Drosophila melanogaster: one gene and its partner. The protein of the gene in region 2 interacts with the protein of the main gene of each other region in a pairwise test. Each region holds a gene or a part of one and is shown on either strand. Other genes may lie near its edges.

Region 1 (3,864 bases), 1.9 Mb from region 2:
AGCACTACTCATGTACATCTTAACTTCTAGCCGAATGTGTGGAGTTCCTGAAAAGGCAGGCTCACAGCCTGGATCTTCCCGTGGATGTTATATATCCAGTGGAGAAGAAGCCTGTGGTGATCATCAAGTGGTTGGGCACCGAACCGGAGCTGCCCTCCGTCATTCTCAACTCGCACATGGATGTGGTGCCGGTGTTCCGTGACAAGTGGACCCACGATCCCTTCGCTGCCGATATCGATGAGGAGGGCAGGATCTTTGCGCGCGGTACTCAGGACATGAAGTCGGTGGGCACAGGATATCTGGGTGCCATCCGCCTGCTTAAGGCAAGTGGTGTCCAGCCCAAGCGCAATTTCTTCGTGACCTTTGTGCCCGATGAGGAGATCGGCGGCGAGCTGGGCATGCAGGAGTTCGTCAAAACGGAATACTACAGCAACATGAATGTTGGTTTCAGTCTGGACGAGGGCGGCACCAGTGAAATAGATCTGTTCTATGTCTTTTATGCCGAACGTATGCGATGGGGTGAGTAATCCTTGAGACACATCTAGGACTAGAATCTAAACTATATCCCCTCTTTGGCAGGTCTCAAGCTGAATTTCAGTGGAACCTCTGGACACGGCTCCATGTTGCTGCCCAGCACTGCCGGCGTGAAACTGAACTATGTGCTCAACAAGCTGACGGAGTTCCGCGAATCGCAGGTTCAGAGGCTGGCCAATGATCAGACAATCAACATCGGTGATGTGACAACTATCAATCTCACCCAGCTGAGCGGTGGAGTCCAGAGCAATGTGGTGCCTCCTCATTTCGAGGCTGTCTTCGACATGCGTCTGTCCATCACCCTGGATGTGGTTGCCTTTGAGAAACAGATCCACGATTGGTGCGAGGAGGCAGGTGGCGGCATCGAGATCTCCTTCGACGAGAAGGAACCCTACGTGGCACCCACAAAGATCGACGACTCCAATCCATTCTGGCTGGCTTTCAAGGCTGCCACCGATGAACTGTAAGTCTGAATCGAATGCTCAACAATGCGTGTTCCTAATACGATTTGTATGTTTATAGTGGCCTTAAGATCTACCCCATTGTCTGCCCCGGTGCCACCGACAGCAGGAACATTCGAGCTCAGGGCATTCCAGCCTTGGGATTCTCACCCATCAAAAATACCACCATGCGCATCCATGATCACGATGAGTTCTTGGGCGCCGAAACTTATTTGAAGGGCATTCAAATATACAAGAAAATTTTGGGCAACCTAGCGAATGTCTAAAAACTAAATCGAAATAATACATGAAAACCTTATCAAAATAAAGATTGATGATTTTGTTATAAGTTAGTACAAAACTTCCTGGCCTTTTATCTTATCTCAACGAATACCTTAATCAACTTAAGATCTGAAGAATACAACTTGCTATCCTTGCGACAGCAAGTAGATAATGGATGTATCTACATTTTGCTGTATCATCATAGATAGCAAGTTGGAAGACTGGGAAGCCCATTAAATCCAAAATAATCACTTGATTTTTTCAAATCGAAGGTCATCAATCAAAGCTTCGTCATTTTAATTGAATTTGTCATAATTTTACGATATGATGGAAAATATTGAAAAATACATGACAACTTACCAAGAACTTGAGGTTTCAAAGGTTGAGGTTGCATAGATAATACGCAATGAACTCATTTCTGTGTAAGTTGCATAGATAATACATAATGAACTATTTGCCGCTTAGAAAAGTTACTTATTCGGATAATAGACGTGTGGGTTTTGCAGATAAGGGCGTTACTATCGCAACCACATACACTTTTGATAAGCATTTAAATTCCTTGACCATAAACATGAAAGCAATCAGTGTGATTATAAAAGCACAGACAATCTTTGTTGCAGCTCAGTTGCTGATGACAGAAGAGTGTCGAAATGAGCTCGGAAAAGTGGGAAAACAATGAGGAAATTAAGATTTTCCGGGAATACTTGCGTATACCAACGGTGCATCCAGATGTTGACTATAGTGAGGACTTAATTTTAATTCTTTAAAGTTTGCGTTATAATGTCTTTCAATGTCTAGCTGCCTGTGTGGAGTTCCTGAAACGTCAGGCTAGCTCCCTAAATCTTCCTGTTGAAGTGGTTTATCCTGCTGTTCAAACGAAGCCCGTTGTGATCATCAAGTGGGAAGGAAGTCAACCCGAACTATCGTCCATTGTTCTCAACTCTCACACGGATGTGGTGCCAGTTTTTCGAGAGAAGTGGACCCATGAACCCTTCTCCGCCGATATTGATGAAGAGGGTAGGATCTTTGCACGGGGTACTCAGGACATGAAATCGGTGGGCACTCAGTATCTAGGAGCGATTCGCCTGCTGAAAGCTAGTGGCTTCAAACCAAAAAGGAATTTGTATGTGACCTTTGTTCCCGACGAAGAGACTGGTGGTCATCTGGGCATGGCGGAGTTTGTTAAGACGGATTACTACAAGAAAATGAACGCGGGATTCAGCCTGGACGAAGGCGCCACTAGTGAAAGTGACGTTCATCATTTGTTCTACGCCGAACGTTTGCGATGGGGTAAGTTCCATAAGGATGATGATGATGGATTGGGGACATTACCGTTTCGCTTTATGCAGGACTCAAGCTGAAAGTCAGTGGAACTTCTGGTCATGGTTCCCTTTTGCTACCCAATACGGCAGGAGTAAAACTGAACTATCTGGTCAACAAACTGACTGAATTCCGCACCTCGCAAGTGGAGAACCTTGCGAGAGATTCCAGCCTCAGCAAGGGCGATGTGACCACCGTGAATCTCACCCAGTTAAGTGGCGGAGTCCAGAGCAATGTGGTTCCGCCACTTTTCGAGGCGGTCTTCGACATACGGATTGCCATTACTGTGAATGTGGTTGCCTTTGAGAAACAGATTCGCGATTGGTGCGAGGAGGCGGGTGGTGGCATTGAAATTGATTTCTTCCAGAAGGAGCCTTATATAGGACCCACCAAGCTGGACAATTCCAATCCCTACTGGCTAGCTGTCAAAGCCGCAATCGATGAGCTGTAAGTACCGACTAAAAATTAACTATAATGGCTAATCGAAATCCTCCTGTGTTTTAGTGGATTGAAGGTTCATCCCATCGTTTGTCCTGGCGCCACTGACAGTCGTTTCATTCGGGAGAAGGGTACCCCAGCCATTGGATTCTCACCCATTATAAACACCACCATGCGGATCCATGACCACGACGAGTTTCTGCAGGCTGATGTGTATCTTAATGGCATTGATGTGTACAAGAAGATTATTCGCAATCTGGCTGAAGTCTAAACAAAATGTTTGAACTACATGGATCGTGGCTATAATAAAGATGGGCTAATTACTAAAGTGTGCCTCGTATCTTCATTTTAGAGAGTAATCTTATCAAAAAAAAAAAAAGATTCAAGAGTTTAATTTGAAATTCCGTGTTTATCTCAATATTGTTTGTTGATTCTTTGACTTTCGCCTCCTTGATCAAGATATAAATGATTCTGATGGGAATTCTGTAGCAGATTGTCAACTATACTGCTTCTTGTCACTACCTCGACTGCCATCCAAAGTGACTTGCAATATAGTCAGAATTGGAAGAGATCTGCCGCCCATTGATAACGATTTTCTTATCATATACGCATAATCACTTTTGTGGCACGATCCAAATGCATATAAAGACAGCGGATGCCTTTAGCTGCTTATTTCTACTTTACCATCCTAACGATTCATATTAAAAATGAGTGCCGAAAAATGGGAAAAGAACGAGGAAATTCGAATATTCCGGGAGTATTTGCGAATTCCATCTGTACACCCTAATATTGATTATAGTAAGGTCCTTATTTTAATATTTCCTTAAATGCATTAGCACTATTCATTTTT
Region 2 (4,250 bases):
GGTGTACATCATCTTTTCATTCAAACAGCTTACAGTAGTTACTGCGTACTGCGTATGACGGTTTCAATCTTTGACAGAATTCCTAAGTATCTTCAAAAGTATTACAACCGCAACACTTGTCCGAAATGTCTTCAATTTGTGTCACTTATGCAAATCCGTAATTCCCACAAAACGGGTTTAACAATTTGTCAAAAATTCGATGTCAAATGCCCAAATGAAACACAAACTGGCAAACACTATATAATATAGGCGGTTTGCTATTTCCAGGCTTTTTGAAAGTTGGGTAGTGAAAGTTGTATTGAACTCTGTGCGTCTCTTTCGAAATCTCCAACACAATCCAAGCGATTGCACGTAGCATGAATACTGAACAGCACGTGAGACGGTAGCCACATTTCTTGCAAGAATACACAAGTGAATTCAATTCCTCCACTCCGGCTCCACGCTGCACATATATGCCCTATAAGTGGGGGCCAAGCCTTACGGGGGAAATGCGATGGCAGTTATAAATACTTGCACACACGTCCGTCCACCTGATATTTTCTTTGCCACAATGTTTTCGGCCCCAAATTTATAAAGAGACGGACGGCAGGCAAACCGTTTATTGTACTTTTAGGAACCGCTTAACTCATATCTCAACGCGATCGCAAAATGCGTACCGAATACCTGGTCGTTCTGATTATATGCACTTCCTGCATTTGCATTAGTGCTGGAGATAGCTATTCCGGGGATATTCAAAGCTCGAACTCATTGGATTTCGGTGTGTGAAAGATAATAGGGATCAAAAGAGATTCTAAAGTGCTGAAAAACCTTATAGTAAAGCAAACTGAAAGTGAAATTAATAATATACACTTACAAATATATGTGTTTCTGTACTATCAATTGGCACTGAGTGCTTAAAACGATAATTCAGTGTACAAACAACTATTCAAATCTTTATGACAGAAGTCATTGGATTAACTTCTTGGATTATCCTTGAATGCTAAACTTATAAGATTCTTTCGCATTTATTAGGCAACGATAGTGGGGGCTACAGCTACAGCTCCCCGCCGAGCAACAGCTACTTGCCTCCAGCCACACCTGCTCCGGAGTACCTGCCTCCGCCGAACAATGGATACCAGTACAATCCGCCGCCGAACAACAACTACCTGCCACCGCCTAACAACAACTATCTGCCTCCTCCTCCTGAATATGGACCGCCAGCTGGCTATCCTTCCTATGGACCACCACCTCCTCCGTTTTACAAGCCAGCTCCGTTCATTCCCTACCATTCGCACGACTCCATTCTGGAAAAGCTTAAGTCCAAGATCAATCTGTATACGCTTGGAAAGATTTTGCTCAAGCTGTTGATATTCAAGAAAATCGTCAAGTTCATCGGCCTGATTTTCTTGCTCTTGGTTCTGCCGAAGCTGAAAAACATTTTCAAGGATGATATGATGTCTGGATCTGGTGAGAGCGATGGCATGGAAAGCAAACTTGTAGAGACAGATAAGGGTAAGGTGTTTCTATATAGTGCTTTAAGCATTAATTATTAATATTTATATTTCTCCCTTTTACAGATAAACTAGCCCAACAAATTGAGAACCTATACGATTTTGTAATAAACTCGATAGAAAGTTTTGAAGGAAGAAGTTCGTAGATCAATACCAAAATTAGTTATAAATGCATTGTTACAAATTGTATTACACTTGATTATTTATTTGTTAAAGTCTTATAAATAAAAGTATTTCGTATTTTACTCTTGTGTTTGAACTTGGGGCATATCATTGATTCAGACTGGTTCTTAAATCAATCCAACATCCTGATGGCTTGATACGCTTAATTAGGTTCTTGAACAGTACTCATTAAGTAGTCGGCCTATCTACCAGAATATTAGCCAAGGTACACATTTGTACCTGCAAACGTACCTAGGTACGAAAGCTGTCACCTTGCGCATCACTGGCGACGATACATTTCGCCGACTATCGATAGACGGGCTCACTCTGCGTCCGCATCCAAGTTGCGATCGGATTCATTCGCATTCGCCAGTGATCAACTCCGCTGCTGCAGATCCACAGCCAAAAAATGCTGCACATAGTATCGGTTGTTATTATAGCCCTGAGTCTGGGCTGTGCCGTTGGCCAGGATTTGCGGCGTGTGGACGACACCGAGTTGATTCAACTCCTGACCGGCAGCAGCAATGTGGTTGTCCTATTCAGTGAGTATTGGTAGGAAAGTCAGCCAGAGAAATCCAGCCTACGTGTCCACTGTGCATATGGAGGATGGTACACCGGTTACTGGCTAACGAGCACACTTAATTGCAGACAAAAACAATTGCCAGCGCTGCGTGGAATATGAGAACATGGTGACCAAGATACGTGCCCAGCTGGAGGAGACCTTGTCGGCCATTGTGGTCCAGTCGGTGGACAGCAACCTGGTATCCATCTATGACCCCAGCAAGGAGCCCGCTTTGGTGTTCTTCAGGCGAGGAATACCCATTCTATACCATGGCGAGATCAACGATGACGAAATCCTAGACTTCTTCAATGACAACTTAGAGCCAGCGGTCAAAGAGCTTTCCGACGACAACTTCGAGCACCTGACTCAAGCCTCGTCGGGTGCCACTACCGGGGACTGGTTTATCTTCTTGTAAGCTATATTAGTCATGCGTTGAGGTCGCCATCTAAGCGTCATGAGATGTACATATATGTGCACATATGCTCACCTACACCCACTTCCAGCTCTTCGGCCGAATGTACCGTCTGTCAGCGACTCTATGCCGTTTGGGAGTCTGTGGGCGGAAAGCTAAAGCGAAAGCTGAATATTGCCCGCATGAACAGTTTGGAGTCTGGAATCTCAACTGCTACGCGACTGGGAGTATTGGAAGCACCGGCTTTTATTTTGTAAGCCCTGATCGCTTTGGTTGTGTCCAAGAATAGATTATATAAATTATAATCATTACAGCTTGAGGCAAGGAAAGATGTACAAATATTCAGCCAAGCAATACAGTCCCGAAGCCTTTGTCCAGTTTGCTGAGAAGGGATATACCCAGAGCCATCCTCAACCAGTGCCCGCAATCCCAAGTGCCGTGTAAGTATTCCTCTCATAGCTAAAATGATTTTAAATTCATCCATCGATCGAATTTTAAACTCAAAGTCCGATTATGACCTTTTTATAGGGATTTGTGAGAAACTGATACATGTGTTTAGTAAGTGAGCCAAGATAAAACTTGTAAACCTATTAATAATTACTATTAGTTAACAAATACTGATTCTTTGTCCCCGGTACAAGGTTGCATATAACGCCAGTTTGAGGGTATTCAACATAGACACTGATTCCACCATCGAGCATAAAACAATTGTTAATATCACTCCGTTGATTAATATCGAACCAAATGTTAATCGTAACCGTTGTATATTATCCAGTTTGTACATAAACAATATTACATTAATCAATTATACCCTGGTTAAAACAGTTCCTGGTTTGAGAAGATCGAATTTAATACTACACAACGTTTATCCTAATAACCAATGATCAAATGAGCTAATGTTTTAACTTTCGTGCTTTTCAGAAACGAATTTTTGGGCCCACTGCAAAGTTATTTTGCAGCTGAAAACATAACATCGCTGGCGACTTTGAGTATTTTCGCCTTAGTTGCTCTCTTATTCGTTGGCAAAAAGGTTGCCAAAATATTCAGTTCAGAGCCTGCGAAAACAAAAAATAAGTCGAAATAAAACTAATATAAAGACTAAATGAAACACGACGTTTTTGAATTAGTCGAGTGACAACAATTAGCGGAAAAGTGGGCGCGAAAATTCAACTGCTGCAATTCCTAACGCCACAAAAACTGGCAGCTCTTTTGGCTGGAACGGTGGAAGCGGAACATGCAAATATGGATACCTAATATCGCAAAAGATCCATTGTTCACTGGCGCACAACGCTGACAATACCTATATCCTATCTCTTGATTGCTTTCAATTAATTAGCGGGCAAGCAAACAAAAATATTTAGATCGGCCCATTTAGCAACTGGGCTCGGAGTTCAGGGGCTAACTCGGCTAGCAATCTAGCCAATTGCTTAAGTGCGATGATAGTTTGGCGTGGAACGCTCAAATTAAAGCAGCGTTTCGTTTCGTAAAGCGTGAGATTCGCGATCGTGTTGTTAGGCAGTTTTTTTTTATTTGTTTCGCAGCGGTCATCGTTGGCGTAAGCGTATTCCTCGGAACCTGGATTTTTTGTATCTTGGGGTAAATCACTCAAAACACGCTATTTATA

The links. Proteins that work in one complex are often made in the same cells at the same time.
Region 1: the proteins of CG11790 (region 2) and CG6733 interact in a two-hybrid assay, tested with the Drosophila melanogaster proteins (one large-scale study listed by BioGRID).

What each region holds. Positions count from the first base shown.
Region 1 is NT_033777.3:23,095,853-23,099,716, forward strand, and holds CG6733 (uncharacterized protein), read left to right. Parts: upstream 1-1,875; 5' UTR 1,876-1,906; coding exon 1,907-1,997; intron 1,998-2,054; coding exon 2,055-2,546; intron 2,547-2,605; coding exon 2,606-3,023; intron 3,024-3,080; coding exon 3,081-3,285; 3' UTR 3,286-3,339; downstream 3,340-3,864. Other genes in the region: CG17109 (uncharacterized protein), read left to right, coding at 31-519, 580-997, 1,057-1,261; CG6738 (uncharacterized protein), read left to right, coding at 3,722-3,812.
Region 2 is NT_033777.3:25,045,725-25,049,974, forward strand, and holds CG11790 (uncharacterized protein), read left to right. Parts: upstream 1-1,981; 5' UTR 1,982-2,061; coding exon 2,062-2,194; exon of another isoform or gene 2,195-2,300; coding exon 2,301-2,625; intron 2,626-2,717; coding exon 2,718-2,879; intron 2,880-2,940; coding exon 2,941-3,066; intron 3,067-3,154; coding exon of another isoform or gene 3,155-3,164; exon of another isoform or gene 3,165-3,184; intron 3,185-3,547; coding exon 3,548-3,710; 3' UTR 3,711-3,731; downstream 3,732-4,250. Other genes in the region: CG11786 (uncharacterized protein), read left to right, coding at 649-757, 1,012-1,491, 1,557-1,636.